2 linked regions of the Lytechinus pictus genome follow. The protein of the gene in region 1 purifies or fractionates together with the protein of each later gene. This does not show direct contact. Links are inferred from orthologs where the notes say so. Each region holds a gene or a part of one and is shown in the gene's direction. Other genes may lie near its edges. The genes, in order: protein NEDD1-like and gamma-tubulin complex component 6-like.

What was found.
Region 2: the proteins of protein NEDD1-like (region 1) and gamma-tubulin complex component 6-like purify together in Homo sapiens (affinity purification with mass spectrometry; 3 studies listed by BioGRID and IntAct, with this or other methods). This does not show direct contact. The link is inferred for Lytechinus pictus from reciprocal best matches to the Homo sapiens genes NEDD1 and TUBGCP6.

The regions. Positions count from the first base shown.
Region 1 is NC_087247.1:78,940,109-78,957,318, reverse strand, and holds the start of protein NEDD1-like, read left to right. Parts: upstream 1-10,357; 5' UTR 10,358-10,420; coding exon 10,421-10,553; intron 10,554-17,210. UniProt on the Homo sapiens protein: Required for mitosis progression. Promotes the nucleation of microtubules from the spindle.
Region 2 is NC_087247.1:26,630,766-26,647,970, forward strand, and holds the start of gamma-tubulin complex component 6-like, read left to right. Parts: upstream 1-9,241; 5' UTR 9,242-9,306; coding exon 9,307-9,646; intron 9,647-10,102; coding exon 10,103-10,239; intron 10,240-13,281; coding exon 13,282-13,376; intron 13,377-14,429; coding exon 14,430-14,520; intron 14,521-15,293; coding exon 15,294-15,350; intron 15,351-17,205. UniProt on the Homo sapiens protein: Component of the gamma-tubulin ring complex (gTuRC) which mediates microtubule nucleation.

The DNA.
Region 1 (17,210 bases):
GAACCGCATTTCTTTAGAAAAATTTTTTGTGGAATTATAAGTGACAGTTGTGACATATATCATGTATGTATACATTTTATATGAAAAATTATGACATTTTAACCCCATAATTTACAGTTTCATTCATTCATTGTTTAAATAGTGTATTGGAAATCATCAAATAATTTACTAAAATATAACTTCACACAAAACCTCAAGTTCTTCAGCTTGGAAAAAATGCTGCGAACCCTTGTACATTTCCCATCATGAAAAAAATGATAACATATTGCTCCCGATTGTATATATTGAGGTTACTTAATTATATTGTCCTGAATGACTACTTATTAAAAGACTTTTCATTAAAAAGGAAGAATTTAGGGGCAATGCTCCCCTTCTAATTGATAAAAGTTCATTGTTTTATTCAGACTGCCCAGTACAACACGCAAGTGCCTGTACAACACACAAGTGTCCCGTACGACACAGAAGTGTCCCGTACGACACAGAAGTGTCCTGTACGACACACAAGTGTCCCGTACGACACATTATTTTGTTTATGATATATTGACAGAAATATTCAGCCAATTGCGGTTTCTAACATAATGAATGTCTTTAGTTTGATAGGACTTTCATTATCATCAGCCAAATAGAGTGATTGAAGAAGTCAAAGAGACATAAAGTAAGAAAGTTTGGCTTCAATTTAGAGGTGTCCCGTACGACACAATATGAGTGTCCCGTACGCCACAATGTTCTCGAAAATTGTAATTTGCTTTATTTATTCATGAATGTTTATTTTGCTTTCTTTCATAGATGTGTTTGTTCTTGGGTAATTGAATATCAATTTGAGTTCAGTTTCTATGAAAATTATCCGTCCAAGTCACAGACTTTAGAGTACAAACTTGAGATTTCGAAAAAAGCCACTCTTTCTGCGTCCGTACGACACATTACTATTTTAAATCTGTATTATACAGGATGTGAATTCAAGTCATGTTAAGTCTTGAATTTTCTAACACTCTGGTAGTACTTGATGATCACCTTTAGTTACTGGAATATTTTTTGTTTTTCTTGTCAAAAAACTGTAAAATGTTCTCTAAATGTCCCGTACGACACGTATGGAATCACCCTGTACATGATTTAGGTCTAGATCTTTTAGAAGGAAAGTAGAAATCTCGGGGGTGAAAGTTTCAGGTTTTGGCTTCCTTTGTGTGGGTCTATGAGATAGAAGCCCTGGCTTCGTATGAGAGTAACCTTACGTTAGTAAATGATTTTTACTCTCTAGAAGCCGCCTGGCTATTGCTAACCAAGGGAGCTACTCGTCGGTGTAATATTAGGCAGAGGGTACTCTTCAAAATGGGGTCGGGACAACTCGGACCTCGGGACATCTTGGAACGCGGGCCGAGTTATCCCACCCGTTACATGATTTTTTTTCTCACAAAGTTGCGTCTATTTTTCCGTCATTTCGAAAATTTTTGTAACAATTTTCTAGAGATATTATATTATTAACAATTTATAGATAAAAATTATTATTAAACAAATAGGGCCTAGATCTACTAAAATTTAATATGTGATTATAAATAATTATTATTACTCTCAATACTTGAGAGAGCAAAAAAGCAATTCCATGACTAAGATTGTTATTATAAGCATTCAGGGTCTTCATGAGTTTTACAAATTGTCAAGTATTCTTTTCATCTCTTGTTCTATCAGTCATTCCATTGTGAACGACATAGAAAATCTTGCTGCTAAATAAAGGATATGATATAATAAATATAATGGATTTACTGCTTTTACTTTTAAGAAGTGTAATTGCATCACATAGAATTGCCAAGGGACAACACACTGGTTCACCCCGACCATTCGCCATACAGGAAAATGTACGGGATGGGACTGATCTGAGACCAGTGCCGCTAACACTGTCATTTCTATGTAGGAACGCGCGAAGTAAAAGAGTCTGACTTACCAATTCTTGTGTTGACCCAAACGCAGATTTTGGTTCTACTTAAACAGGATTCCAATGTCCAATGAGTCAAATATCATCCTTGAATTGAAGATTTGTTTTAAAATCGGGTAAAATCATAAGGAAATTTGTCCTTATTCTCGTCTGGTCCATAGTCTCCTACGTAAGTATCTCAGCATGCCCTCTTGTGCTGAATAAAAGAAAGCTAGCCACTGAACAGTGGCGACCACAGAGCTGGTTACAATATTAAAGCTCCTACCTGTTTCCGGTGAAGCATAATAATAGGAAGCTCCGTGATCCGGGGACTAGTCTTTTTCTCACCTGACACCACTAACGTACCTAAGGGGCAGGGGGGGGGGGGGCAGACTGCACCCCCTGACGAGTCACAACCCCAGCAAGGCACGTACCCCTGCCCCCCTGACGAGTCACAACTGATCCCTGACGAGCCACAAGTGGCCCCCTCTTTTGAACTTGAAGACCTTTTCTTTTTTGCTCGTCAAATTTTTTTCTAGTGCAAAATGTCCTTTATTTGCTGTTGAAAACTTTTTTTTTTTTTTTTTTTTTCTTGTCAATTTTTTTGACAGACGAATTTGCCCCCCCCCCCTTTGGAAAATCCTGGGTACGCCACTGCCTGACACTCAATATTTTGTTCACTATTTTTTTATTTTTTTTTACACAAGAATTCACTGACATGATGCTACAGGGCATCGAATCTTTAGGTACCCGTCCTGACTCAGTCCGTACTAGCAGAGAGAAGCTCTGGATGAGACGACTTCGCACCACCCAACCTCATGGCCTGAACATCCAAGAGGGGAACGACTGATTATTCTTTCCTATCCACTTTCAATTTATTTATACATATCATTTTTCCCCTCAGCTCTTTTGAATAGTTACATTATAGTTTCTTCCTCTACTTTCCTCCCATATCTCATACAAGCTCAGCTCCAATTTTTCCTTCCTTATTCAGGCGATATAATAATTATTATACAGTGCGTCCCAGAAAAAACGAAACCGAGATTAAGCGATGATTTATCATAACTTAATCACAAATACAATAGACAAATGACCTACCAAAATAAAGCCTAGAATCTCCTCTTTCATTTGACATTATTTAGATTATTCCTCAATCAGGCATGAGTGAGCAAAAATAATTTGAAGAAAGGATACCAAAAACTCATTTGGCGGGGGGTTATCTGAATTTCAAAAAGAAAATCACATGCCTAAAAAGTTCAATATCTGCTCTTTTATTTGATACCTTAATCACAAAAAATGGTCAAGAAGTAAAAAAGTTATGTTCCCTCGAAATAATGCTTGTATTTCCATAATTTCATGAAATAACCGTGTTTTCACCGGTTTCCCACAGAAGCTATCGCATGGTTAACAAAAGACTTAATGCATGGCTGATCGTCAACAAAACAGAGTGTCGAGTGAGTTTGAACACTAGCCTGTAAAACCTCTTTATTTCATGAAATTATTAAAATTCAAGCCTTATTTCAAATAACCAGAACTTTGTTATTTCTTGACCATTTTCTGTAATTGAGGTATCAAATTAAAGAGCAGATATTGAACTGTTTACAAATGTGGTTTTCTTTTTGAAACCCAGATACAGCCCGCCAAATGACTTTTTGGTATCCCCTCTTCAAATTGTTTTTGCTCACTTATGCGTGAAGGAGAAATAATCTAAGTAATTTCAGATGAAAGAAGAGATTCTAAGCTTTACAATGGTAGGTCATATGTCTATTGTATTTGTGATTAAGTTATGATAAATCATCGATAAATCTCGGTTTCGTTTTTTGTGGGACACACTGTATATATATTTTTTTTTCTCCACTCACCTCTTTTAGATTTACCACATTTGCTTATTTACATGTATACTATGGTTTCTTCATAATACACCCCCTCTCTTCTATATTTGCTTTTACCTTTTTAGGCAATTTGCTTCCTCTTTTTCACATATACAGGGTTTTTTTTTTTTTTCCTACTGTATAGTCCTATGTTTTTTTCCCGTCACACCTAGCGGATTACAATATCAGTTACACCATATGTGTATTTATATTTTTTCATATACATTTCTTTTTGGGATATATTTATATACATATCACTTATAGATACATATTTACACTTACATTCTTCTCTTAGTTTGTTTAATGCTTTATCATATATACTTATATGTCTTTTGCACATTATCAGTTGTTCCCCATTCTTTTCCTTTTTCCCCCCACTCTTATGCACCAGTTTATTATGCCTTTCTTTGTAACCTGTTTGACCCACCTCTCACTAATTCTCTAGTTATTCATCCCTCTATCACTGTTTTGTTCCAGATCCTGTTTTTTGTTGCCTGCCTCATTATCTTAATCCCTCTTGGCCTTACTTACACTAACTTCCCTTTGTGTCTGCCTACTCCTTTTCTTTCATCCCCTTCACTAACCTGATTGGTCTTCTCTACTCACTAATGCCCCTTTTGTCTCCTTGTTTCTAGTGTTGCTGTAGCTTGTTTGTGGTCTATATTATGGTTGTTCCACTTTATATGTTTGTCATTTTGCCTCCGACGAAGATTCTGCTAGGATCGAAAGCTTAGGCCCCTTTTTTACTTTCTAAGAATTATTGTTGTCACAGGCGGCGGAGGGGGGGTACACATTCAATACCCCTTAAATTTCAGGATGAGGGGAGAGTTCCCCGTAAAGGAGAATGAAACCTTTGGAACAAGATAGCTTGTGTGAAAACAGAAAAATCAAAGAAACAGGTCAACGAAAGTTTCAGAAAAATCGGACAAATAATGAGAAAGTTATGAGCATTTGAATATTGTGATCACTAATGCTATGGAGATCCTCAAATTGACAATGCGACAAAGATGTGTGATGTCACTTGTGAACAACTCTCCCCATTACTTTAGTATATATTTCACTTAAAGGAGAATGAAACCCTTGAAACCAGCTGAATCCATATCAAAGAGAAAAATAAAAGAAACATATTGAGATCACTAATGCCATGTAGACATGGTAGATCCTCCCATTGGCAATGCGACCAAGATCTGTGATGTCACACACGTACAACTCCCTCATTACTTTAGTACTTATTTCATTTATATTCTCACTTTTATAGAGTCTATCACAAGGTGAGGTGTTCTCTTTATGAGAGGACAAGTACAGAGTTTTCACAACATTATATCATTGATGAATCATTTGTCATATGATTAGAATGAGCAAAAAGAGATGTTTTGGGGTATATTTTCAGTGTCCAAAAGGGGAGAGTTGTTCATCTGTGACATCATAGATCTTGGTCGCATTGCCAATAGGAGGATCTCCATAGCATTAGTAATCTCGACATTCAAATGCTCATAACTCTTCTATTGCTAGTCCTATTATACTCAAACTTTTGTTGATCTTATTCTTTGATTTTTCTGCTTTCACAAAAGCTAACTTGCTCCAAGAGTTTCATTCTCCTTTAAGGACGTTCCACAGTTATGTTTGTGCGCATTATGATCTGCGCATATTTAACACTGCGCGCTGACGTCACAATGGATGAACAGGTGATTAATTAGCTGTGGGTATGAGCTGATTTTTCTCATCATCTGCACCCTAACTGCAGATCCGATGCGTTATTTTATGAAGCTAAAAAAATTGAATTATTCCATGGATCATTTAAAAAAATATTTCTACTATTTCAAAATACTTTACTCTGCAGTACTGAGTTTGAATAAATGGTAGAGTGGTTTTGATTTTTCTTCACATAGATACAAAGCAGTTGGCGCATTTTTGGTGTTTTAAAAAGCACATTTGCTCTAATAAAAATGCTGATAGTTTGAAAACAAGCACATGAACCCCTATTTTTTAATGTTTGTACCTCTTATGTATAGCTTCCTCTACAACTTTGCACATTTTGGTGAAAATGACATGGATTTTGAATAAAGTGCAGCATTTATTGTACTTTTGTAGTCTGTTATTGAAATTTCACATTTTTGAGATTGGGTTTTTATTATCTTTTACGCCATTTTTAAGAACTGACTGTGCTGTTAGACTTAAAGTTGCAAACAAATAGCACTATAAATAGACTCTTCATTCTAACGATACAATTATTAACTCTCTTGCGAAATTTGATGACTTTTTCATGTATTTTGACTGAGTAATAGAGGTTTAAACTCATTGTAGTATTCTTGCGAGGTCTAAAAATGCCAAATTATTTTGAATGCGCAATTCTTAAGAACATCAATTTGGGTGAACTTTGAAGCTCTATAGCAAAAAATCAAGCTCATGGATCTATGTTAATTTTTGCATATTTCGAATATTAAGGTTCTTAAGTATCTATGTGCAAAGTTCGGTGTAAATGACATGGATTTCACTTTAACTGTGGAACGTCCTTAAATTGCCTCTTTTATCACATCTATCAGTAGATCATGTGTTCTTTCTAGAGGAGGGCATGTAATACAGATTTTTAAAGGATACATCATGGATAAAGAGTTTGTATCACAATAAGTAAAAGCAAAAAGAGACATTTTGAGGGTATTTTATAGTCCGTCAAAGGGAAAGTTGTTCACATGTGACATCACACATTCTTGTCGCATTGCCAATTGGAGGATCTCCATAAGCATTAGTGACTGCAATATTCAAATGCTCATAACTTTCTTATTATTTGTCCGATTTTGCTCAAACTTTCTTTGTTCTTATTCTTTGATTTTTCTGTTTCGACACACACCTACTTGTTCCAAAGGTTTCATTCCCCTTTAAGTCTTTTAAGAAATAAAGAATGAAAGAAACAAAGAACAAAGACTGAGAAAAAAAGAAGAAATCAAAAATCAAAAGAATTCAATTACGCTCAGAAGAAAAAAGAAAGAAAGGGTATTAAGGGAAGAGGAAAACAGACAAATGATGCTCTGATATAGTACTAGAAATATTATAGATAAGCCCCCCAAAAATAGCCATTTGGAGTTTTTGGACTTTTTCATTCTTTAAACATGTTTATCTAGACGAAACAAAATTGCCAATCTGTCGAGGCTATCGAGACATGTTTACCAGAATGCATCACGAGTAGTGTTTCATCCATCCGGGTGGAAAAACTCTATGGCTTCGTAATATTTTTTTCTTTATCGATTTGTCACGATCAAACACCATTGAACGAACCAAGAGTAGTGATGGTCACCGGAGGTGGAAAAATCGGTGAGCTTTTAGTCATTTTTCATATTATTTTCAGCAATTAGATCATATAAATTTATGTCAAGTATCACACTTGATCTAGTTCGATAAGGTCATGATGTTTGGGGTCAGGGAAGGGGAGGAAAATAGTCTATGTTTTTTTTTGCCATGCTAGTGTATACACCCGAGAACGAGGTTATATTATAACCTCGTTCGTAGGATGAGTGGGACAACATAGCCACTCATTCAATGAACAAGGTTATGATATAACTTTGTTCTCTGTTGAGTGTTGTATCTCCATGTGAGGCAAAATAAGGGTGGCAATGTTTGGCTTATTTTCTCCTTTGGGACAAATGCTTGATTTTCTTACACTGACAGTTTCCATTACACCTATTCATCATACAACTTGGCTCTTCAGTAAATTTGATTCTTTAAATTATTTTTTTCTTAATTTAAAATAGAGATTGAAAAATGAAAATTTTCTTGCCATACATACTTTCCACCAATAGAGGGCGTACACAAAAATATGCCCAAAATTCAAGTTTTTGAGCGCTCTGGTGAATACGAAAATTATTCCCAAGTTACTTATGAAAAATAAATTGCTACTGTAAGGAAATTAGTAATTTTGGTCACAAAAGTTGATATTTTAATGATTTTTTAAAGTGTGTGCTCTGTACAGCATTGGCATACCATAGCATAGTCCTACCTGTAGATTCCCCACAGGCAGGATGGTTGCAGTGGACAAGTGAACATAGCATCATTTTAAGTTAGCAAAAAGTTAGAAGAGACTATTAGTAATTGGAACATAATGTCCATGACGAAAAAGTGTCCATGACGTTCTTATGATTAACCTGCCTAAGTTGTGAAAGATACTATTGAAATTTGGTTTTCATATTCGTGTAGAGTTAACTAACCGTTAACACTATACTGCTTTGCAATTAAAATGAACTCTAAATTCAGAGAGTTTTTTAGTTGAACTTTAATAGTGTGCAAAACGTGTGTTTTCTGTGTAATGTCCATGACACCCCGGGGGCCACTTCCATTCACGAGTGGATACCATGCGCGACTATGGGGTCTCGAAAAGCACCCTAAACAGGTATTTTCCATATACTGAAAATGTACCCCTTAACAATTACTGGCGTGTTAAACCCTACCCTTTGCCTTAACAAGTATTGGAAACAAAACGATACTCTTGGCAAGTATTCACTGAATTGAACCCCAAAACAAGTACAGCGATATTTCAATTGTTATGTCACAGACGTCGGTCGTCGGTTTTACCTTTACCTATTGGGTTTAGTCCAGCCCCACCTCCCTCACCTCGCGCAAATCGTACTCTAAACACGTAGTGTTGACTCTTCGGACAAAAAGTACATCCTTTATAAAACATTTTAGTCTTAATTTTCTATACCCTCGCAAATTTGACCCTAAAATTAAATAGCTTTCCTAGCGAAAAAGATACCCTTTTTTCATTATTTTAGTGTTTTTGACACCCTTATTACGTTACGTACGTAACGTGCCCTATCTTGAAAAAGACATCCTTTTTACGTGTGTTTTTTGGTCGCGCATGGTATCCACTCGTCAATGTAAGGCATGGCGCTCATTTGCATAATACCTGTCGTAATAATTAGCAATGGATTCCCATAAAAAATTAATGAGAGGTAAAAATTTGCTCCAGCTGCAAAAATCAATTAACAAACCCAAAATGCAGAGTTTAGAAACATATACCACTTAAAAGTTAAAGCAGAAAAATTGGTCCACATGTATAGTCCATGACGCAGGAATCACCCATGTGTTGAATTGGCATCTTAATTTAGAAAGTTTATGGATCTAGCTCATGAAACATCGACATACATGTAAGGGTAATCAAGTATGAATGATTGTTTTGCACATGTCTTAGGTCACATGATCATGGTCAAAGGTCATTTTGGGTCAATGGACATAATATTTTATTATCATATATGTGTTTTCTTCTCTGAATAATTATTCATTAGCTGTTTTCAAAGGCAGCACTGCTGCTATATTGATTTGCATAATGCCCTTTGTAGTGGCCTTGGTACCCTAAAAAATATGAGATATTTTAAGGCCAAACTGGCCTTTCCCTAAATATGACATAATTTAAAGCTTATGACTAATTACGACTGGAGTAGACTTTTTAAAATCAATTCAACTTTTTTAAGGAAACTTACTGAATGATATGAAGCCGCTTTTCCCACATATTTATCCTTCTGTGATTTTCTAGTGAATACCAGAAATATTCTAAGAGTTCGGGATAATATTCCATGGATCGCAGGTGAGTGGAATATTGGCCCTAACGAGTGGAATATTTCTGATTATTTCATGAAATAAAGCCATCCAATATGATTATTATCATCTATCCCAACCCCCCCCCCAAAAAAAAAAAGAGGGAGCAATTTGATTTAACAAGTCATATCACATTATGCCATTATCACTTCATACACACTGTAGGATCAATTTTGGTCGTTGACATGTAGTTTATTATGACGTCATCGAGCTTAGTTGTGCTCTATGTTGCGCATAGCATTGCTTTCATTGTTGTACGCGTTGTATATTTCGCTCATGCGCCCTAAACTGTTTAATAAGCTCTCATATTCAATAGCAAATTTTGTACAGGAGCCAATGGGATATTCGTCGGATTTCGGTCTTTTTTAGGGATACGCTCTGATACTGCACAAGCAATTGACGCAGACCAAAATACGCGTTTTTAATGCATCGCTAGAACACTATATAGATGATAATATGGATTATTCTGTATATTGCATATGGAAATATATTTTATATTCTATATTGTATTATTTGTAACACAGTAATAAAAGTAAAGCAAACAAAACAAAGCAAACAAATTTATGGTCAATGAACTATTACATTACCATATAAATGGTGTTTTTTATGAATTATTATTCATCTTGGTTGTTTTTATAGTCAGCATTGCTGCTATATGAATGTTGAATTGCGTAATGCAGGCGAGACTGCCAGAAGCGTTCCACTTGTATGTACCTACAGTGTATTTACCATTTGCGGGAGGCGCGATAGCTCAGTCGGTAGAGCGGGGATTCGTATTTCGGTGACCCGGGTTTGATTCCCACTTGGTGCGCTAGTGCCCTTTGGTATAGGCATTAATCCTCAGTACCAGGTCCTTCGGAGAGGACCTTAAGCCGTCGGTCCTCTGGTTGCTTGCTTACAAGCATTAATGCTTTCTTAGCAATCAGGTAAAAAATCACCACCAATTTCACCACCAAAAGAAATGGATGTTTTCTTTTCTTTTATATATCTTGTAGGAATATTTGCTGAGAATTAAGTTTATGTTCCAGATTATTGTAATCCTTTCTGATGATTGACAATGGAGGAGGGACCAGTGAGATTTGCTTCTGGTGGAGATGATGTAAAGATTTGGGATCTCTCAAGCTCTGCTCCTCAACAACAGTTCTCACCACATGCAGGTCCAATCTCAAGCCTTTGCTGGAGTCATAACAATATCCTTTATTCATCTTTAGCTCGACTGGCCTGAATTGATGAGCACTGCCACCCATGTTTTCCACTTTCTCTGTATTTAGTATCTCTTCAGAATGTAATTTTATTAAGTGGTAATATTTAAGATATCATTAAAATGCAATCTCATTGATGAAAAATTGAATGGTCATGTGTGTGACCCAAAGTTTCCCTTCACTGGCCTTTAAACAGCAGTTTTAATAGTATGCTGGATTGCAATCTTTTGTCTTCAATGGATGATGTACATGTATGTAAATTGGGTTTACAACTTCACAAGCGCACTACACAAATTCCACCCAGTCAAAATTAACAAAATTCTGACACAGTCTAGCTTCAATAATCCTTACTAATCTTATGTCAATAATAAAGAGATTGGTTTAATAACGAAGAGGCTGTAGCCCTAAAATCTATTGGTTCATCAACCCAAAGTCACAAAATGGCAAAAGAAAGACCAATGAAAATGAGATGAGATTAAACCAAATGGTCATTCTTTGCTTGACTGCTATGGTCCATTCATACAGTATGCTTCTTTGACCTCAATAGGTGTGTTTAAACTGTTGATTTTAACTTCCTGTAACTTCTTAGTTATTGAGGCAATCAATTAAATATGGCGATAGTCATACTGTGAACTTTAAAAAACTGGGAAGTTCTTTTAATCCCATCTCATTTTCATTGGTCTTTTAATAATATTAATAATAATATATAATTTTATAAAGCGCAGAAACTATTCCATAAAGTATTATTCTACTGCGCTATTTAGGACTCCTAAAAAGCTTGTTATTGATTAAATAGATGTGTTTTGAGCTTTGATTTAAAATTGTTTATGGATGGTGCTTTCCTAACTTCCAGGGGTAAGCTCTTCCAGAGCTTGGGGGCTACACAAGCAAATGCTTGATCACCTAGTGTTACTTTTGAAGGATAGAATCTGTAAAAGCAGAGGATCCGTTGAACTGCGCAAATTGCAACCATGATTACTGCTCAATAATTCTGTAATGTAGCTAGGAGCTTGACCAAGGAGTGCTTTGTATACAATTAGTAAGACTTTGAATGCTATTCTCTGCCATATTGGCAACCAATGTAGGTTTCTTATACCTTGGTCACATTTGCTCTACGGCGGCCATACGGCTAGTTGAAAACAGCCGTTTTAACATTTTTTTGTACCAACTACATATAGGTGGTCTGAATTAAAATTGATAAAACTGCTGTTTTCGACTCGCCGTAGAGCAAATGTGACCAAGGTATAAGTATTTTTTTTTATAATGTTTTTATTAAAAAAATCAAAACAAATCACAAACAATCACAAGCAATCAAAACATTTACAAGATATTGTATCATTAAAAAAAAGGGGGGGGGGGAATAAAAGAATAAAAGAAAAAGACCAAGGTATTAGTATTGGTGTGATGCATGTATATTTCGTAGAACCAAATATAAGCCTTGCACAGGTGTTTGCACCCTCTGCAATTTCAATAATTTTGCAATTTCTAGACTTTGGATTCCGGAACCAATTGATTTGAGGGGCTAAAGCATCTTTGTGATTAAACCAATCTCTTAATTATTGACATGTGCTTAGTAAAGATTATTGAAAGTAGCCTGTGTCAGAATTTTGTTCATTTTGACTGAGTGTAATTTGTGTAGTGCACTTGTGAAGTTTGATAAGTTTCTTTTGGAACCCAGTTTATTACTGATGAGTGGAAGATGAAGGTTAGAATGGTAACATAAGAAGAAGAAATAATGAGCATGATAAAGGAGGTCAAAAGAAGCATGACAGAGAACAGAAGACAAAGAGAGTCAAGGAGAGATCTGTCATTTGACGTCATTATATGCTGAATTGGAATATGGAAACGTGTTATTGCTTTCTGTGCTTGTAAATTCAGTGTACTTTTCTAATATTTGTGTAAACTAGCCTCACCAAAAACCAACTTAATTTTTTCCTTCTATTTTTATACGCCAGTCCTCTATGAGGCGCCGATTGTACCAATATTATATAGAACAATTATTTGTTATATAATCATTATTTATTAAATAATAACTATTATTTATATATAATTTACATTTTATTTGTAAATAATTACTATTATATAAAATAACATATATATAAATCAATGTGCCAGGCTCTTTTTAGCATGGCCGTACACAGAATTTCTTTCGGGGGGGGGGGGGGGGGAGCATGCGTGTAAACTCGTTCTCAAGTTGAAAGCGACACAGCGAAGCGACCAAGCTTGTCATTTGGGCACTTTTTTTAGTTTTAAAAGTGAAATATGAAGGCTTTCGTGCACACTTTTGGTGAATTTTGTGATAATTTTCAATAGAAAAATAAGTTTTCAAAAATTTAGGGGTCATCATGCCCCCGTATTGTCGTTGTGAGCGTTTTTGGGAGAACAAAAACAAAAAAACAAAAAATTCTAGAAAGTAGAAGGGCCTGATACACTTACACTCACTCTCTCAGCTCATATGCACTTGATCCACTTCCATTAAGGATCCGGATTTCGGGCTAAATTCCGCCCGACAGTTCCGGGGACCAACCAACGTAATATTTCGATGAAGAGCATTTTGTCGATTCACCGGTTGTTCCCACTCACACGTATTGCGAGGTACCCTATACTAAGGTCGCACCATGAACCGCATTTTTCAGTGGATTTCTAACAAGTGGGTCTCGCGTGCTGGGATCTCACTTTGGTGTCCACAACACGCAACTTCTATGGCTTAATTTTTTTGTGCGCGACAACATGTAATGAACCCTTGGGTTGTTCCTACGATCAGAGAGAAAAGGTGAAATACACGCGCGCCTACGGGGATTGTGAACTGTAGGAAAAATCGTATAAAATTACACTTTTTGATATTTCTGCGAAGACGAAGTTATATAGAAAATGAAGAATATTACAATCAGACCATATCCCTAGAAAATTGCTTCAAGAAATGCCATTATGAAGAGGAAACGGACAAAAATTTGTGAAGAAAAATTACGAAAAAGGAAATCGCATCATGAATATTCATATCATGGGCGGTCCCACATTTGCATGTTATAGCGAGTTTTCCATTATTTAATAAATAATGGTTATTTGTATATAAATAATTATTATTTGTATATAATGGCAAACTGTAAAAATTGTTTATAAATAATGATTATTTATAAATAATGGGATATTGAAACAAAATTATTATTTATAAATAATGAAGTAGATGTTTCATTATTTAACAAATAATCTTTATTTGTAAATAATGGAAAACTCGAACATTAAATAATGATTATTTATAAATAATGAAAATAATGGCGCACTCGAAAAAATTATTTATAAATAATGAAGTAGACGTTTTCATTATTTAACAAATAATCATTATTTATAAATAATGGGAAACTCAACAAATTATTTATAAATAAAGAAATGTGCACTGGCATTGTTAATGAATAATTATTATTTATAAATAATAGAAAACTTATTTATAAATAATGGAAAAACAAATTGCAATTATTTATAAATAATGAAGTATGTAGTGTCATTATTTATAAATAATGAAAAACGAAAATCATTATTTATAAATAATAAAAGACAAATAATCATTATTTATAAATAATGAAAAACAAATAATCATTATTTATAAATAATGAAAAACAAATAATCATTATTTATAAATAATGAAAAACAAATAATCATTATTTATAAATAATGAAAAACAAATAATCATTATTTATAAATAATGAAAAACAAATAATCATTATTTATAAATAATGAAAAACAAATAATCATTATTTATAAATAATGAAAAACAAATAATCATTATTTATAAATAATGGAATGTCGAACTAGTATTATTTACAAATAATGAAGTATTACTTGGATTTATATATAAATAATTAGAAATGTTATTTTATATAATAGTATTTATTTACAAATAAAATGTAAATTATATATAAATAATAGTTATTATTTAATAAATAATGATTATATAACAAATAATTGTTCTATATAATATTGGTACAATCGGCGCCTCATAGTCCTCCTATATGACATATTATGGTGTCACACTCGGTGTCCGTTCATCCGTTAACTTTTCCTTGTAAACGCGATAATTTCAGTTTGACTTAACCTAGGCTCATATAATTTGGTGTGTATGATACTAGCATGGATCCTAGGAAGTCTATTGATTTTGAGGTTAAAAGGTCAAAGGTCAAGGTCACTTTGACATATTAGGGCCGTCTGCACCATCCCGAGTTTTCAAATTAGCGCGCTATTTCTGATCCGGCAAATTATCCCGATCTGAAAAATCTCGAGATAGTTTGCAGTGGAGACGCAATTATCGCGCTAGTTCGTAGGATTAATCTCGAGATTGCAATCCCAAGTCAACTCGGGTTTATTTGCAAAATAGCGCGCTATTTTACGAATTATCCCGCTAATTCGTAGGTGCAGACGCACTCGAGATTGGACTCGGGGTAATTTATTCATGACGTCAGTCCATAATGCAATTCGCGTTCCACTTCCGCCTTGGTCAAAACATAAACACGTGCGAAAGTCAACTTTATACATGCGAATAGATATTATCGCGAATAGCGTTCATCAATTGCCTAATCAGCAACGATGGTGTCCCACCAGTGAATGGATTTTGGGAGAGACCAGACCGAAGGGGGAGGCGCTCATCGACGATGGTCATATTCAATAACAACACTGACAGAAGTGTCGTCTTATTCCTTCGCAAAATGTGAGCAAATAGCATTTCTTTCCTCCTTCTCTCCCTCTCTCTCTCTCTCTGTCGTTGCCTCCTACTCCGCCATCATATTTAACGAAGAATACATCACTTCTTCACTCGCTGAGCTGAGAGGATTGTTGTTTAACACCGGTCGAATTCGGCGAAAATGCTAGTGAAAGGAGTACATTGCTTGCATATCGCGGGAAGTTATTCAAAAGCGCGGGCTGTTGAAACTCCAAGATCCGAAAGTGCGCATGCTCGGAATATCGGGCTTGTTGCCTCGCCCGAGCAGGAATCGCTCTTCTTGCGATGGTGGAGACGGGGTTTCTTGAATCTCGAGATTAATCGCGAAGTGGGCCGATCGGGCTAAAATCTCGAGATTGAGCAAACTCGGGATGGTGCAGCACCGCCTATTTTCATCTTACCCTTCTGCAGTCCTTGGAAATGCCATAACTTCGGTTTAACTTAACTTAGGCTCATATTATTTGGTGTGTATGATACAAGCATTGATCCCAAGAAGCCTATTGATTTTGAGGTCAAAAGGTCAAGGTCACAGGGACATATTTTCATCTTACCCTTCTGCAGTCCTTGTAAATGCGATAACTTCATTTTAGGGCAAGTCCAAGAATTTGTGCGTGTTACGTATGGGACATTTCAGAGACTTTAATGACCTGAAAAATAGTGTTAAATGACTTTCATTAGATGTAATACCATCATGATGGTAGACATCTAGGAGAAGAATAATCATGCAAAAAATGGTGACATATTACCTTGTCCTTTTAGAGAGAAAAGATGTGCCGTTACGTATGGGACGCAGAAAAAAGACAATTTTTAAAACATTTTTTCCAAGTTGAGAATTCTCTGAAAGTATTTCATTTGACAACTTGTAACTTAGTGTGATAGAAGTCACAACACTAGTATATCTAAGGCAAGTTTCATGTCATAAGCTAAAACCCTCTAATTACATACTCTAATTAAACAAATTAATGACATGTTACGTATGGGACATTTTGTCCCCATAGAGAACGTACACAATTTTCCCCATAATTTCAACAATTAAAATATGGAAATAACAAGAGTTTTTTTCTTTTAAAATATTCTATTGAGACATATTTGATATGACTGAAAAAGAAATTTGCCATTTCAACAATTTTTTTCTTGTTTTTCATGATTTCAAGAATTTCTTATGTTTTTCTATTGTTTTTTATATTTTTCATATTTTTCAATTTTCACAATTTTTTTCACTTCGATTGTTTTTATTGATCAGTATTCATAACAAATCAGTCTCTAAAAACTAAAGAAAAGGTAAATAATCAATTTTTAGAGCACTCTTGAAATTTGTTTTTCTCCATTCACTTTGTACACAAATCTCCCCATTGACATTGTGTGTAAATGTCCCATACGTAACATGTTGTCCCATACGTAACAATTTTTTTAATTAACTTTTAAATTAAAAGTAAACTATATTTTTGAAACTTTTTGTGGTACAACATTTTCATACTTAATAAATTAGAACTTCCCAGAGATGCAATATTACAAGTATTGTATTATAAGAAATAACAAAAAAAAAATCCTTAAAATGTTACGTATGGGACATTCCATCTTTGGACAAGACCTTATTTGCATACTTAATTAGATGACACCACTTTTTTCCCCCAAAAGTAATAAGATGTTATGGGGTCCATGTCCCACCTATGACTAAATCTCACAAGTTTTTTTTATATTTTTTTTTATGAGTTTGTATAATTGTCCTATACGTAACGCCCATTTTACCATTTATGCAAATTAGGTGCCCCAAATTAGCATAAATATGCATATTATCAACTTTTTCTTAATAACATTTTAAAATTTATTTGGGCTTTCTTACCCCACCAAAAATAACTTCTTAAATTAAAGATGAAATTTTGCCTTCTCGGGTGACCTTTTCTTGGACTTGCCCTTTAACCTAACTTAGGCTC
Region 2 (17,205 bases), about 52 Mb from region 1:
CATATATGAATATCATTCATCATCATCATCATCATCATCATCATCTAGTACAGGAAGAAGGCGGTGGCCTGTAATTCCCGGTCACTCCATCTATGGTTTTAGTCTGGTGAGTTTATTACTGTACGCATGCTGAGGAGTGGGAGTCATGGTAGATCAAAGCGATGATCCCACCAATGTTTATCTACATGCCTTTTAAATGATTCTGTTGTTGGCAAGACGACTATACTTTCCGGGAGGCTATTCCAATCATCTATCACTCTTCTGCTAAAAGACTTGCTGCGAATGTCCAGTCTACAGTGCTCTTTCTGAAGCTTCAGGCAGTGTCCCCTTGTTGATCTGCCTACTGATTTTGTGAAGAAGTGATCTAGAGGGAGATTGATAAGTCCATGCATTAGCTGGTGCACGAAGATCATGTCTCCTCTTCTCCTCCTGTACAGCAGGGAGTACAAGTTCAATTCTTTGAGTCTGTCTTGATATGGGACGTTCTTCAGCTCTCTGACCAGCTTGGTTGCCCTTCTTTGGACCCTTTCGATCCTCCTTGCATCTTCTTTGAATCTGCTATGCCAGAGGATACTCCCATATTCAAGGTGGGGTCTTATTAGGGTTTTGAAGAGCAGAGGCAGAGTTGTCCTTGTGAGTTGAGTGAATGTCCTTTTCATTATGGCGAGGAGTTGGTATCCTTTGCTAACTGCTGATGACACATGCTGGTGAAATTTCAGCTGACAGTCCACTATTACACCGAGATCCTTTTCGGCTTCCACTACTTGCAAGTCTTTCCCATGCATATGGTAGCTTTTTCCAAGGTTTCTCCTGCCGATGTGCAACACTTTACATTTGTCATCATTGAAGGGTAATTGCCATCTCTCAGACCACTCAATAAGGTAATTCAGGTCGTCTTGAAGACCACTCGTCTGTGAAGGTGTATTTCCAGTACTATAGAGTTTCGTGTCATCAGCAAATAATACCACTCTGCTATTTATTACGTCAGATGGGAGGTCATTTATGTAGATCAAGAAGAGGACTGGTCCGAGGACACTTCCTTGCGGAATTCCGCTTGTAACAGGTGACCAGTCGGATGATTCTCCATTAACAAAGACTCTTTGTACTCTTCCGATCAAAAATGCTCTAATCCAGTTCAGGAGTTTACCTTCTATACCATGTGCCTTTAGCTTGAGTAAGAGCCTTTGATGGGGAACGCTATCGAATGCCTTCCGAAAATCAAGGTATAGGACATCGATTGTTTCACCTTCATCTAATAACCTTGACCATTCCTCAAGAACATAAAGAAGTTGAGTGGCACACGTCCTTCCTGGGGTAAATCCATGCTGACTCTGTGTGAGTAGGTCATTTCTTAGCAAGTGTGTAACTATAACATCTCGAAGAATTTTCTCCATCAACTTTCCTGCAACGGACGTAAGGCTAACAGGCCTATAATTTGAGGCTTGGGTTCTACTCCCTTTCTTATGGATTGGTACTACAGTTCCCTGCTTCCAGTCCGATGGGAGTTTACCTTCCTGCATAGACTTGTTACAGATTAATGTCAATGGTTTAGCAATGGACTCAGCTAGCTCATATAATACTTTAGGATGCAACCCATCTGGTCCTGGTGACTTATTTGTATTCAAGTTTTTTAACTTTTTGCTGACATCTATCTCTTGTACTTTTACTTCACTTAGCGTGGGTAGGTCACTTCGCAAAGGAACTTGTATATCCGGTATACTGTCCATGTCCTCTCTAGTGAATACTTCGGAGAAATGATCGTTAAGAACACTTGCTATTTCACTATCTGATTCAGTAAGTTGTCCATTACCCTTCATGAGGCTTGTAATACGACCTTTACTCTTTACCTTGCTGTTAGCATAACGCCAAAAAGCTTTGGGATTATGGCCAATGTTTTCAACTAGGTCGAGTTCAAAGTTGTTACTTGCTGCTCTTGTTTCTTTCCTTAATTGGTTCCTCACTCGTTTATACTGTCTGTAGTCGATTTCTCTCTCGTCTCTGGTCCTGTTCACATCTGAATATCGTTTCCAGTAACGCGTCTTCTTCTTAGACAACTTAAGTATAGCTTTTGATACATAAATATACTTGCGTACTGGTACATAATTTTCCACACCTTCTTTTATATTGTGAAACAATGAGGTCCAAGCTTGTTCACAAGTTTTGCCAGTAAAATCCTTATCCCAGTCAATTTTTTCAAGAGTCTCATTCATGGAATTGTAGTCCCCTTTCTGGAGGTTTGGGCGACTTTCTCTTTCTGGCAATTTGTCTTTTTCCTGAAGTATGTCAAGCTTGGTCAGTATACACACATGATCACTAAGTCCAAGTGGAGGTAAATAATCAATTGAAGATATTAGGTCATCAGCTGTACATGTAAATGCAAGATCCAGAACGTTTGGATTTTGGCCATGTCTATATCGTGTAGGCTCATATATATGCTGGTGCAGGAATGCTTCCTGGGTGGCAGTGAGAAACATGTACGATGTATTATTGGAGGTCGAATTTACATGCGATCTTTTCCAGTTGATGTCCGGAAAGTTGAAATCTCCCATTATCAAAAGATGCTTCTCTCTGTTTTCACTGGCCAACTCTATGAGTTCACAAAGTAACTTATTATTTTCTATTGAGCTAGAGGGGCTTCTATAAATACATCCAACCATAAGTCCTTCTCTCCCTTTCAGCTTAACAGAGCACCAAACACTTTCGGTAAATTCGATGTTGAATGAAACTTCGTGTGCTTTGAGTTTTGTGCAAATGTAGATTACAATACCCCTATGGCAGTTTTCCTTATCCATGTTTGAGAAGATCTCATATCCTTCTAGTTTAAGTAATTCATTTGTCACTTTTAAGATGCCTGATTTAGGAACTACTTCACATATCATTACTATATCTGGGTTATGCTTTCCAATAGAAATTTGTAGCTCTTCAATTTTGTTCAATAGAGAGTCTGCATTAGTATAGAGGACCGTTAATTTGTTTTGTGATAAGTACTCCATATTTTTGTCCACAATCTCTGCTTCTGGTCCTCCATTCATGTCTCCGAGTCATTGGCTATGACGGTTTCCACCCACTGCTCCAAAGACTCCATCTACTTCAATTTCACTTTCCATATCGCTATCTTTATCATCGTTTCTATGGTGTGTCTGTTGGTGAGTTGGTTGTGGGGTTACTTTTTCCTGGAGATTTGATCCAATGTCTGTTTCCTGGAATTCTATTTTGTCGCTTTTTCCACTTACTTTTCTAGACTGGTTTCTCTTCCAACTAGTGACAATCTGGCCTTGACGGATCACCAAATCTTGTTCCCCATTCTCTCTTCTCTGTTTCAGTTCTTGTCTTAGTTTCCAATTTTCCTCACGTTGTTGCCTTGTCATGTCCGGTGATATATACGTATCTTTCCACTTGGTAGTTTGTTTAAGTTTCTTGGCGGCTGAGAGGATTTCGTTTCTCATGCGTGGGCTCTCTAAATGGACCAGTAGAGCTCTGGGTTTTGATGTTGATTCTTGCGTGGCATCGTCACGCTGCTTCCTTCCCAGTCGAATTGCTTTGGTTATCTTGGTGTTGTGCACATTGAGACCACTCCTTGTAATGTCCATAACTGCTTTCATATCCTCTGCTACTCTGTCATGTATTTGGTCATGGCGAGACTCAGGTACATTGTAGAAAACGACATTGTTCTTTCGTCTTTCTCTGTCTACTAATTCCTCCATTGTAGTCATACTCACAACATTCCCTATCTCATATCTTGGGACTATTTCTTCTCCATCTTTTTCATTGACATTAGCATTGCCATTGTTGATATTGGAGTCTTTCTTAGTATGAACATTAGGTCTTTGAAGTATAGTGATTTTGTTCTTTGATCCCTGTGCATTTACATTGCCGACAGACTGTTTACATGCATCAGCATATGACTGTTTGATTTTTTTCACGCCATCGTCCAACATCTCTTTCATTGAATCTTGAGCCTTTTTCAGAATTTTCCCGACAGCTTCATTCACTTCACTTTCGACATCCTTGCACATACTCTTGGAAGTGATTTTATATCTTATTCTGGCTTTGGCTGCTTCAATTGCAATCTCTTCGCAATCTCTGCAGAACCAGTGTGCTCTATTTTTGTCATTAGTAAAGAAGTGATACATGTCCAGTGACAAATTGTGACAAGATAAGCACGACCACCTTTCGCATGCCTCGCATTCAATCATGTGCGACATACCCTCATCATCACAGTACTCACATCTGTACATGTCATGGACATGGCCATGGGTGACTTGCCTGTGTTTCTGCTTCTTACTTGTTTCTTTCTTTCCGGCACCAGCATGTCCTACTTCTTTTCCCTTAGTCTTGCCAGTCTCTCTGCCTTGCTTACTCGATTCAGAGTATGATATTGCTCTTTTCACCTTAGTCTGCTTCTTAGATCCAGTTGTAGTTGATTTCGATCTCTGTTTTGTTGCGTTATTCCTTCCATCATCTAATCGTACGTTGTTGGTGATATCAACATCCGGGTCATGGCCCGTGGCCTCATTCGCTATAATATCTTGACTTGCATCTTCAAATTCACTTTCATTTCCATCCTCGTGATCTTGGTTATTCGGATTTTAATTTTTCCGAATGGTGATATTTTTGAAAGAGTTTTCTGAATCTTATCCATCCTTCAAGATTTTATTTTATTTTATTTTTTTTTTCTTTCTCAGCTCGGTGACTTGGTCTTGGCCAATCGGTGCAAGTACGCGTCCCTCGATCGCGGCGGATGAGGCGGCTGCGACACGTGTATGATCGGTACGATGGCTACCCTGGGGATTGACTTCCTGAAAGCCACGGGCACGCCAAATTTTCCACCTCAGTTTTAGCTATTTCAGGCTGCCAGATTTTACCAAAAATCAATCTTGAAGCATATGAATGTGCCAAAAGACATATGCAAGGATAAATTCCTTCTTTTGGGCAGATTTAAATGTATTTTCCGAAATTTTGTTCTAGAAAAATGAGAGCACAAAATGAGAGACGTCCACTCCTCACGCATGCGCAATACAGACATAAACTACTGGGCTTTCGCCCACATAAAACATCGCGCATAATCCGGTATTTCACATTCTGCTTGCCTTTGACACTTACCGAATCATTTAGATCATTCCGTGACTTTTCCTTGAAGTTTCTTTTAAAAAATATATATATTTTCTTGATCTTTAGTGAAGATTTCACGGAGATAAAAATATGTCGGTGCGGATATCAATTTTCGCCTAAAGAGGGCGCGCGATGTATATCATATCAAAGACACACGACAAGGGAAAGACTAGGCACCTACACTATTTTACACGCAAATCGACGCAAGGCATTACGCAAAGTCCGTCAAGTGTCCAATCTTTTTATTGTATAGACATTGGTATACCGTATTATTGACGTTCGTTAAAGCCTGTACTGCTGGTTCCGTTCCAGGCACGTATATTTTTTTCAATTTTTATTTATTAGTCATCGTTTTAAATTAATTGCAAAAAAGTGTTATCATCGCCAATAATAATCTTGAATTATGTTTTTGAAGGTATTTCATTTATTGGTGCCCATAATTAGTAAATTAATCATGAGAATTGCGCATTCAAAGAATTTAGACACAGTTATAAAATTACCGAGGAGCTGAATCAAGGTTGTGAAATTTATTAGCGCCACCAACGGGCTTCCTTGTATTTCCGTAGAAGAGACAAGCGAAGTCACTTTCCAGGCCGAGGTAAGCGAAATTTGCTCTTTTTGACCGATTATTATATTCAAATTACATTTTTAATTTTTTAATGTATTGCTACTTACCGGAAAGAGCCCTGAGTAGCGAGAAGGAGTTTCGGCAAATATTACTTCAGCAATGAAGCGATGTTTGCCGACTACTTCGAAATCCAGGGTCAAACACGGTCCGGTGTACGAGGTTAGTATATATATATATATATATACTAACCTCGTACTAGTGTGAGTGACTCATAGAGTAGAATTCACTGAGCAAAATACCGAAAATTTCATCAAAATCGAATACCAAATAATGAAGTTATTGAAGTTTAAAGTTTAGCAATATTTTGTGATAACAGTCGTCATGAATATTCATTAGGTGGGCTGATGATGTCACATCTCCACTTTCCGTTTTCTTATGTTATTACACAAAATCAAAATTTTTTCATTATTTCATACTTGTGTGAATAATAATAAATATCTCTCCCTTATAATGAAATAAGTTGCAGCAATAAATATCTAATGCACTAAATCAGTTGTCAATCCAATTTTTCTAGTTCTTGGAGGAAAAAATTTGAATAAACCTAATTTCATATAATAGAATACAAAAGAACAAGTGAGGATGTGACATCATCAGCCCACCTAATGAATATTTATGACGACTGTTTTCACAAAATATTGATAAATTTTAAAATTCAAAATTATTCAATAACTTTGTTATTTTGTTAAACTTGACTCAAAAGGAAAGATGAAACAACTAGATCTAGTTATGAAAACTCTATAACTTGTTCCTCCGGTTCATCACCAAATCAGTAATCTGAGAATCCATAATATATTTATATGATTATTTTGGTGGAAAAACTGTTTATCATGTGAGATTGTTTGCATCATTGAGAATCTGCTCCGATCCTACATGCCTAGCTAGTAGCCTGCCACACAGAGTAGGGAGGCCAGTTCGTTAATAATGTATTGGGTTAGCAAGAAAATCACAGCAGAACTTGCAAAAGTTTATAGTTATCGATTTTATTGTTATCTCTGCTTCGTCATCTGTTGGTTATTTGATGAAAAATTCGTCACTTTCAAATGTTTTAATTATATTTTGTTCAAAATTCTGAAATATCGGGACAAATAGGCATTCCGGGAAGGGTTTTTTCGGGAGCCGGGACAAAGGAGCAAACTATGGGACGATCCCCAGGAAATACTGGACGTCTGGTCACCCTGGACGAGTTGGCAGTAGACGAATTGGTAATTTACCATCATGGGGACACAACAGTGCCTGGTCCTGGCCTGGCTTTGGCCTGGGGCACCCATGGGTGCATTGCATCTCAGTTGTATGATTGGGTGACCATAATTTGCGCACATTAAAAAAATTATCATGAAGTTGATTTTAATCAAAAACTTCTCACAGTTCACACAAAATTAATCAAAATCATGAATACCAGACCAAAGGCAAGATCCCTAAGTCAAATTTGCTTGACGGAATTATAATAAAGTAGAGGTCTAGGTCAAGGACAAGGGTTTTGCTGGTATCGCGATCTCAAAATTCCATGGCGATCAAAAATATGGGAACGAGTGTGTACAACTCTATGGAAAATTTTCCATAGACTTACTGGTTCCCATTTTGGCGAGCAGGTTATATTTATTCAGTGTCATTAATTCTGACGAAATAAATCGCACTTAAAATGTCTTTGATTGAAGACAGGTTATTATGTATAGTGAGATTTATTTAGTGAATGTGATCGATATATATATTTTTAAACTGTGTGAAAGTGGCCTTGAGAGTGGAGAGTGGTCTTGAAGAGCAGGGAAATGCTTGGTACATGTATTAATAAAAAAATATGTAATTCCATATTTGACTAAATAAAACCATGAAGCTAAGTTTCTTGTTTGTCATTGTTGAAAGTCAGTATTGATTTAAAAAGAAATATGCTATTCATTGGTTGGCCTATCAATGCATTTACTGAAAAAAAAAATTATTCTAAAAGCAAAGCTAACTAGAGAAGGATCTTGAGCAGGATTCAAACCCATGCAAGTTGTACATCAGTGCAGCATAGAGCTTTGACCTGACGCTTTTACCACTAGAGCGGGGCTATTGATGTCAACATTTGAGTGTATATGGTTCTATACTTCCGCTCTTTAGCCATTCTGTACCTGTGCTTCACTCTATTTTTTATTCAGGATTCACTCTATTTTTTATTTAGGATTCTTGCTGATTTTAGGATTACTGGGCATATTAGCTATATTATTACCTGAATGAGCCATGTTTGAGACAAGATAAAAGTTCGTACTTTCATACTTGTATTATTTTGGATGTATTATGGTCAAATTCAAGCGTGCATAAATTGACATTTGCGCTAACAATTACATGCATTACTTGCTAGTCTCCACAAGTACTCAACATTTTATTGACTGCAGCATGCATTAACTTTGCTTTAATTGTATAGACGATATACATAAAGTGCTATATGCTGGGAAACAAGTAATAATTAATAATAATTATAATGATATTGACTGGCATTACTATTGGGAGTTACCACATATAATTCCTGCTCATTGCCTTTGGCAATATGACTAGGGATATATGTCCTCCCTAGTCTCCCTAAAGACCAGTCAATATATAAATATAGCCCTCTCATGCCTTTTAATCGTGTTACTTTGCATAATGTCGGGAATAATAGCATTCAATTTGTAATTTAAAGGAGAATGAAACTCTCGGAGCAAGTTAGCTTTTGTGAAAGCAGAAAAATCAAAGAATAAGATCAACAAAAGTTTGAGTAAAATAGGACTAGCAATAGAAGAGTTATGAGCATTTGAATGTCGAGATCACTAATGCTATGGAGATCCTCCCATTGGCAATGCGACCAAGATCTATGATGTCACAGATGAACAACTCTCCCCTTTTGGACACTGAAAATATACCCCAAAACATCTCTTTTTGCTCATTCTAATTATATGACAAACGATTCATCAATGATATAATGTTGTGAAACCTCTGTACTTGTCCTCTCATAAAGAGAACACCTCACCTTGTGATAGACTCTATAAAAGTGAGAATATAAGTGAAATAAGTACTAAAGTAAAGAGGGAGTTGTACGTGTGTGACATCACAGATCGTGGCCGCATTGCCAATCGGAGGATCTACATTACATTAGTGATCTCAATATTCAAATGCTCATAACTTTCTTATTATTCATTCAATCTTCCTCAACAATATGTTTCTTTGATTTTTCTCTTTAATATGGATTCAGCTGGTTTCAAGGGTTTCATTCTCCTTTAAGTATACATGTATCAACGTTATGGTTACTAATTATAGACTTACCGCAAATAGCCATATGCTATTTAAGAACCATGGGATTCAAAAGGGGACAAGAATGCTCTGAAGGGCAGATTGACATGGATGGTAGATAGGGCATTTCGGGAAGAAATTGTAAAGAATGAAGAACTTGTGTCTTGTGACCATTGAGACTATGTTATTGTTCTTGATGAATTTAACTTTCTTGCTACACAATTAATAAGCTATCACATTTTTTTTCATTGTACTTAAAAATACAGGTCTTCTTGTCCTTCGCTTGATTGACTTGTAAATAAACTTAAATACCCTGCAAGAAAATGGTGACCCTTGACCCCACATCCCCCCAGCAACTCTTTAAGGATCTTGTTCGGAGAGCTGTTAGTGACACGTTGGGATCCTCTCGTCCAATCCGCCTGGGAGAAGATGCCGAGGATATCGCCAGGTTTCGCCAGAGATTGCAGACCAGACTGTTCGATTCCCTCTTTGGAAGTCTCCCTGGACCCCTGCAACACAGCTGTTCAGCCAGAAGCAATGCAGCTGGGATTTACTCCCCCAAGGAGCAACTTGTCATCATCATTTTCAAGCTTCGTGTGGAGAGGAGATTCGACGAAGCACAGCAAATGGAGTTGATTTTGGATCGCCTCTCAAAGTTGAGCGGTAAGCAACATCCAACTCTTGCATCCTTGTAGCATAAGTTATGCTTCAGTCACACCTGGGGAACCAACTCCAGACCGACCAAAGATATCATATTATTTCCAGTGACATACCATCTGTCAGCTTTGTTGGTATGACTGTCCCACCAGGATTTCAGAGCTCTGCAGAATCACCACTCATGAGATGAGCCGTTGGAAGGTTTCTGGTTGATCATATGCGCTCTCCTTGCCATTATATTGACAATTACTGCACACTGTTTTGTATACAAATTGCCATAGATTTTTCACATTTTAATCACTCAAGAATAGACAATATTAAATAAAATCTATCATATCAATTTTCACATGAATCCTGAGATATTCTAAAGCATTTGCGAATGTGATCCATGTCATACGTTATATTTCACCTAAAGCTTAATTATTTTCACAAATTTTGTTGCTGTGTGTTCTTTTTCATTAGCAGAAGAAGACAGTGTATTCCTGGAGGGAGTTATTAAATTTCTTCTGGCACTATCAGGAACCAAGCAGTCCTCTCACAAGGCTGTAATTGGTCACCAGAAACCAAATCTTCCTACTGTTGGTTTGACTTCCAAAGAGGTACGTGAAGCCCTGCTTTATACATACATGTAAAGCTCAAGTCTTGTTTTGATAAGTCCTCAAGGAGGGGAACATAAAGAGATACAATTTATTGTAAATTTTAATACATGGTTTGCTATAGGGGCATTTTCACCACAGATGGACACAGAGGCAAAAAAATCAAGTTGATATTCATGTCAAATGCTTTATGTTTTTTAATAAAACAAGACCTGAAGTTTCTGAGACAAAATTTTTTTCCGACTCTGGCAGCCATTTTTTATTTCAAAATGGCTGCCAAAGTATGGATACAAATTAGTGTTGAAAATAGTATATTGATACATATTTTGTTTTGACAGATTTTTAAAGAACAGGTTTGATCATGATGTTTTCGCCTGTGATTTAGCTTGCTATTATAACACTTTTTAAAATCCCTCAGAAAGAAACACCAGTAATTCATTCATCTGATAAAAAAACATTGATGAAGTATGTGATATGGTATGTAATGTCAGTTACCGAAAACATGAACTTTTTTTTCTCATTTCCTGGAAAAGAGGATATATTATATGAAACTTGGTAGATTTCCTCTCTAGGTAACACCCCTCCCTTCTACACCAAAATTAAAGATTACCAATCAACAATGAAGCCATAGGGTACCATTAAATATATGTAATGTCAGTTACCAAGTGGAAAATGTAATGTCAGTTACCGAGATGTAATGTCAGTTACCATGATAAAACGTTGGTTACCAATATTGAAATGCAAATATGTGGTAAATTTTATGGTGAAGAAATATTGTATACTTGTTATTTAAGTCTTTCACTTTAAAAGTCACACCAGAAGGAGCTTGCTATTTACTTTTAAAAGGTATAGTTCACAAGGAATACTATATGAAATTATGAAGGAAGTTGCATTCCCATTGTGCAAAAAAAATTACTATGAAATTGTTTTGTACATGTACTTACCAAGTACCTAATTGTTTGTATCAGACAATTTTTTGTTTGGTTTTCGGGGGGGGGGGGGGGGTAGGGGGTACTTTTTCCAATCTATTGCCTAAATCTGCAACATTTTTTAAGCTTAACATTTTGATGAAGGGGATTTCCAGGGTCCCTTTTTTAGTTTCTAGGATTCTTTTGAGCATTGCCTCGCTAAAAGTACATTCCTGGATTTTTTATACCTGTTAGTAGTGTGGATGTGTGATACAATTTTGTTTTTGGTTTACAAGTATAGATGAAAAGTGAAATTTGACAGTTCTGATCAATGTTGCATGGATCTACTAAAACTGTTTTTTTTTTCCAATTTACAAATAGTTCAGTTTCAGTTTAGAAGCTGGAGTTTATTTTTTGTTGACAGTTTATAAAAGAAATTAGCAAAGAAAATGATTAAACAAATTATGAAGAGAATTGAAATCCGACAGATATGAACAAGCATTGCTTGCACTGACCAGAATAGAAATCAATAAAACTACATGGCTGCATGAGATTCGGGGGAGGGGTACATGTAGCCTAGGGGAGGAGACCCTTATTCATTTTGCCTTTTTGAGGGGAGGGGGAGGTTGGAGAAGGAAAAGGTTTAAAAAGTCAATATAAAACTGATGAATATATTATGGGTGTATAATCAGAAAAATCCATGTGTACAGTCAATGCAATATTAAATTACTATAGAAAAACATGTAGCTGCTATGACCCCACCCCCCCCCCCCCCCCCCCGAGTAAGTAAAACATACATTTCTTATCTTTGGATAATTAAAAATGTGAAGTATTATGAAACTTTTATGATTTTAAAAAGCCTTACATATAAGTACCAAGAAAATTATGTCTTTGAAAATCATGTAGCACTGGTAAATGTTAATGTGTATATTGTCAGTTACCGACAAGTAATGATAAAAATGTTCAGATCAAAGAAAGGAATTAAGAAAAAGAAAAAGTTTTTTCATTGAAATGTTCCTAAAAACTCGGGTATACTTCCACATCAAGCTCACTTTCATGTGAAGCCCTGCACAGAAGATACAATGCAATGATTCCACACATTTGACTTCCATGTGTTATCTCTATGGCAAATTAAGTGTAATGTCAGTTACCGTAATGTCAGTTACCAGCATGGTTGTGGAAAAATTATCATAGTCCCCAAAAGACAAAAACGAATTGTTTAATATTTTGACACATCTTAACCTAGTAATGGAGGTATATTTACATATTCAAATTATTACTCTATGTACTCAGGGACATAAGATATTTCAATTTTAATGAACACCCTGAAATTGCATGTCCTTTTGCGTAATGTCAGTTACCGACACATTTTTGCTTGCTGAGGCGTAAAAAAATGTGGTTACATAGGAAAACTTAGTATCAGAGTATACAGCAAGGTTCACTTTATTAACTCTATCAAAACCAAACTCCCATCATTTGTTGTTTTAGAGATACACACAATGAAAGGTGTGAAAACATTGTGCCGTGTAATGTCAGTTACCGTGAAAATGCCCATAGATGATTGTACAATTGATTTTATCTTTTGTGTGAAATGGCCCTGATAATTTGTGACAGATTCTTGAATGTATTTTTTAACAAGCCTATGCAAAGATAATTCTGTGAATGTTTATAGCTCATGTTAATGAATAATAAACAAATGAACTGTGAAATAAAGGTGAATAAAAATGCCTTCCTTCACCATTTAAATTCTGGTTGAACTTCTAAACATATATGAGATATAAAAAAGACATACTATTCTATTTTATTAATTTTGTAAAACACAGAAATTCACCGCAAATTATTTGATTCCTCAAGCATTTATCCTGTTACAAATGGTTACCTGATTCTTGCATCATGATGATACTCTCTCCTTTTTCTTCTGTCTGTCTTGAGCATTGTCCTTGATTAGACCAAAGAACTTAAAAGTTCACAGTGACTATTTACCTTTTCCGCATCCTCTTTGGAGCAAACACGTTTCATTTACTAAATTTTTATGCCTCATTTAGCCAGTAGAGATGACGTTTAATAATAATAATAATAATTATAATATTAATAGAATAAATCATATGACATGCTGCTTTGTCTGATATTTTTTTAGGATATTGCTGCTCTACCAGGAGGAGATTGGTTTCATGGTGATGGCAAACACATTCATAGATGTGATGAGCATCGACCATTTGTTAGTTATTCAAGGTATTATTATAATTATAATAATCGCATGTAAGACGCTTAATAGAGATGTTTCTAAGCCCTTAATATTTTAACTATTAATAGTTACCGGGATTGTAAACAAAATTGTAATTAATGAATGAATAAATAATTAAACCTCAAATTCAATTTAAAAGAAAACAAAACAAAACAAAGATGTGCATCTCCATATAGACCAACCCACAGCTGATATACAGAGTGGAAATACGTAAACATTAAAAGGTGACAAAACATAGTGACAGGCGTGGAATTTATTTATTAATGTGTGAATTGGACGCCTCTTCAGGCTCCTATATTTAATTAAGCATGAGCAATGCATGAAATCAGTATAAACCAGGATTTCAAACCACCTTTTTGTCTCACCTGAACGAAGTTCAGCAGAGACCTACATGTAGTAATGACTTTCCTTAGTCTGTTGGTCTGTTGCAAAAATGTTAATTTTTTTTGTTTAACTTGCTGTCATTGCTTTATTTATGCATCAGTTGTTTTAATACTTGGTACAACTGATCCTTGGGTAATACCACATTTTATGTGCTGAAGATGATGAGGTCAAAGTTTGTCTAAATGGTCAAAAGGTCAAATTATCAAAGCATGTTTTCATTTTGTTATTTTTAAATAAATTTTAATTGTTCATTTATTGCCATATATATACCTACAAAGCTTACATCAAAGTCCATCTTTACGTCAAAAGGTCATTTTTTTCATGCTTTATTGATCACGAAATCAGGCGAGACTCTTGGTTTGTGAACCACCTTGTCTTTTTAAAAGTAAATCGTACCAGTGTATTTTGTTTGCACTCTACCAATTGCCATAGTTTTGCTCTCTTTCTTGCTGTGCCTCAAATATGTATTTTTTCCCCAGGGTAGGAAATCATTTTATTTTCTAGGGTTTTTTTTCTTCACATTGGGATGGTATGCTATAAAGTTGAGCACTAAGCTAGTACAATTATTGAATATATAATTTACATTTACAGGTATACCTTTTGTGGATGTTAGTTATTAACACTCGGTTTTGTTATTGTTTTTTTATGTCTTTTAGGGAACTGTTTGAAGGTCCAAGTATCGATCAGTTTGCTAATGACAGTGGAATGTCAGAGATGTCCAACAATGATAGTCTACTTGATAACAAGGTATCATTTCAAGTCTATTAGAGGACTTGCATTTCCAAAATTTCTTTAAACAAATGCGTTTTCATGGACTGGTCACCATTATGATGGCTATTGCATGGTTAACAAAGTGCGGTTGATTGTCAAGAAAATGGTGTGTTGAAAAAGTTTGACTCCTAGCCTGCAAAATGTCTTCTTTGAATAAATTATTCAAATTCAAGCATTATTTTAAAGAAACAAAACTTTTATTCCTTGATCATGTTCTTTGATGGACATATCTTATTCAGGGATGCCAGTTTTCAGGCAAAAGCCTGAATTCAGGCTCTGGCCATTTATTTTCAGGCCATAGTTTTATCATTTTTGTGTACAAAATATTGTATTATAGGTGATTTTCAGGCCCTCTGATCAATTCCAACTGGCATCCCTACTTATTAAAGAGCAGGTATGGAACTTTTTAGGCATGTGATTTCTTTTTGAAGTTCATATTCCGTCTGGCAAATTAATTTTTGGTATTTCTTCAGATTATTTTTAATCACTTTTCTACCAGAAAAATCATTTAAAATATCCAGATGAAAGAGGAGATTCTAAGCTTTATGATAGGTCATTTGTCTGTATTGTTTGCAATTAAGTTATGATAAATCAACAATAAATTTTGGTTTCCTTTTTTTTCTGGGACACTCTGTATAGTCTGACTAATCAACGGGGCATCTGATGTCATGGCATTGGATCAATTTAAACAGCACTGCACTCTTTATTACTGATTTTAAGAAAATTCAATGTGTTTTTTTTTCAACCAGATATTTGAGGCCGAGCCAGGCCAGGACCTGCGTGGCAACAGACTTTTTGCAGTCAAGGTCAGTGATTCCGAGAATATGTGATCGGCCATACCGAAATGAGAGAGAAGTCGCAAATCAAAATTCCTAGAAATTTGACGAACTAATAAAAAAGTCGAAATTTTGAAGATTTTTTTTTTTTCATTTTCTGATTCTTCCATGTTTCATGATTACTCTGTGAAAAAAATGAGTGAATTTGATGACGGGAAAGTGATAAAAAAAGAGTTTTTCTGCGAGTGTTTTTTTCGGTCAGTTCGAAATTTTCTGATACTCGGCACGCTCGACTTGATCGAATTTTGCTTCATACTAAGCTCCGCCCCTAGCAACGTACGCCATTGTTGATTGGCTATTCATTTAAACTAGAGTACAGCTGGCGGCGTCCGACCGGCCGCTCGATCGATCAATCGATCGGTTCAATGAGCTTCAAAAGAAAGATCAAAAGCATCGCTTTCAATACGTATTCTGAAATTGAAAAGGGGGCTTCTTGACAAAAGTTAACAAACGGGATTCAACTTCTAAAGGGTTATTTTTTTGATAATGGTAGTTGGTACCAGGCGGGGGCGTTAGCGATAGATTAATAGGCCTACCTGATTTAGAGCGTATAGCTTGTCTATAATCGCGCAAAAAGTCATACGTAAACGCAAAATTCATAACACGGTTTGTTGGCGAGGATTTATTTCATGAAACATAACATGGACATGTTGAAGATTCTCTTTATTATTTGCAAGTGATCGGGATGTTTCGAAGAGAAAACTTTATTTTCAAAAGAAATGGTTTAAAATCCATAAAAGTATTGTATGTTCGCGAATGTGGGTTAATGGATCTGCAGTATCATTAACAAAAGAAAAAAAGTTTTTCATGAAAGCTTGGTGGGCTTCATTATTTCCAATTATTTTTGCCTTCAATTTTTATCATGTTTGAATGAACGATAGAGAAAGAAATAACTCTCAGAAATAACAGGAAGTCAGAGACAGTAGAATAATAATCAACTTCGACAAGGCGCGGATCCAGGGGGGGACGTCCCCCCCTTGAGAAGAAAAATTAAAAATTTGTAATGTAAAAATGCCATTGAAGCCGAGATATACCCCGGGATGTACCCCCCTTTTGAAATTGAAGACCTGTTCTTTTTTTTGCTTGTCAATTTTTTGGCGGGTACGAAATATCCTTAATTTATGGTTGAAAACCTTTTTTTGGAAAATCCTGGATCCGCCCCTGACTTTGACCAATGAAATATGGCCCGAAAGGACCATGCAGTAGGCCTGCATTTTTTATTTTTTGATAATGGTATATGGGTCTTACGATATTGATTGAAAATATTAGTCATTTAAAATACACCTATTGAAATTAACATTAACCTACAAGTCATTGTCATGTTGTCCCCTTAGACTTTGTCCAGATCTATTCTCTCTTTCCTTCTCTGTTATTCTCTTACCTTCAGTTCTTCTTTCGTCTTTCTTGTTTTATTTCTTCCTTTCTTCCCTTCTCCACCTTTTCGTTCGCTCTTCTTATTCAGGCCATTCGGTCTCTTCTTTCTAAATCTCCCTCTTGTTCTTCCTCAACCCCTTTCACTTAATTCTAATTTGTTAATTCCTCTTTTGTTTGCCGTTCTTGTTCCCTTTCGATCTTCTCTTTTTTCTATGTCGATTATTTTCTCCTCCTTTCCTTCTTCTCGCTCCCCTTTGTTCACCCTCTACATTTTTTCCCTATTTTCCCCCTTTTCGTTTCTATTTACATAATTTTGTTTTCGTTCTTCTCACCCTTCGATCTTCTCTCTTTTTGCCGGTTTTTGTCTCGCCTGCATAGCAGAGCGAGACTTTAGGCGCCGCTTTTCCGACGGCGACGGCGGCGGCGTCAACATCAAATCTTAACCTAAGGT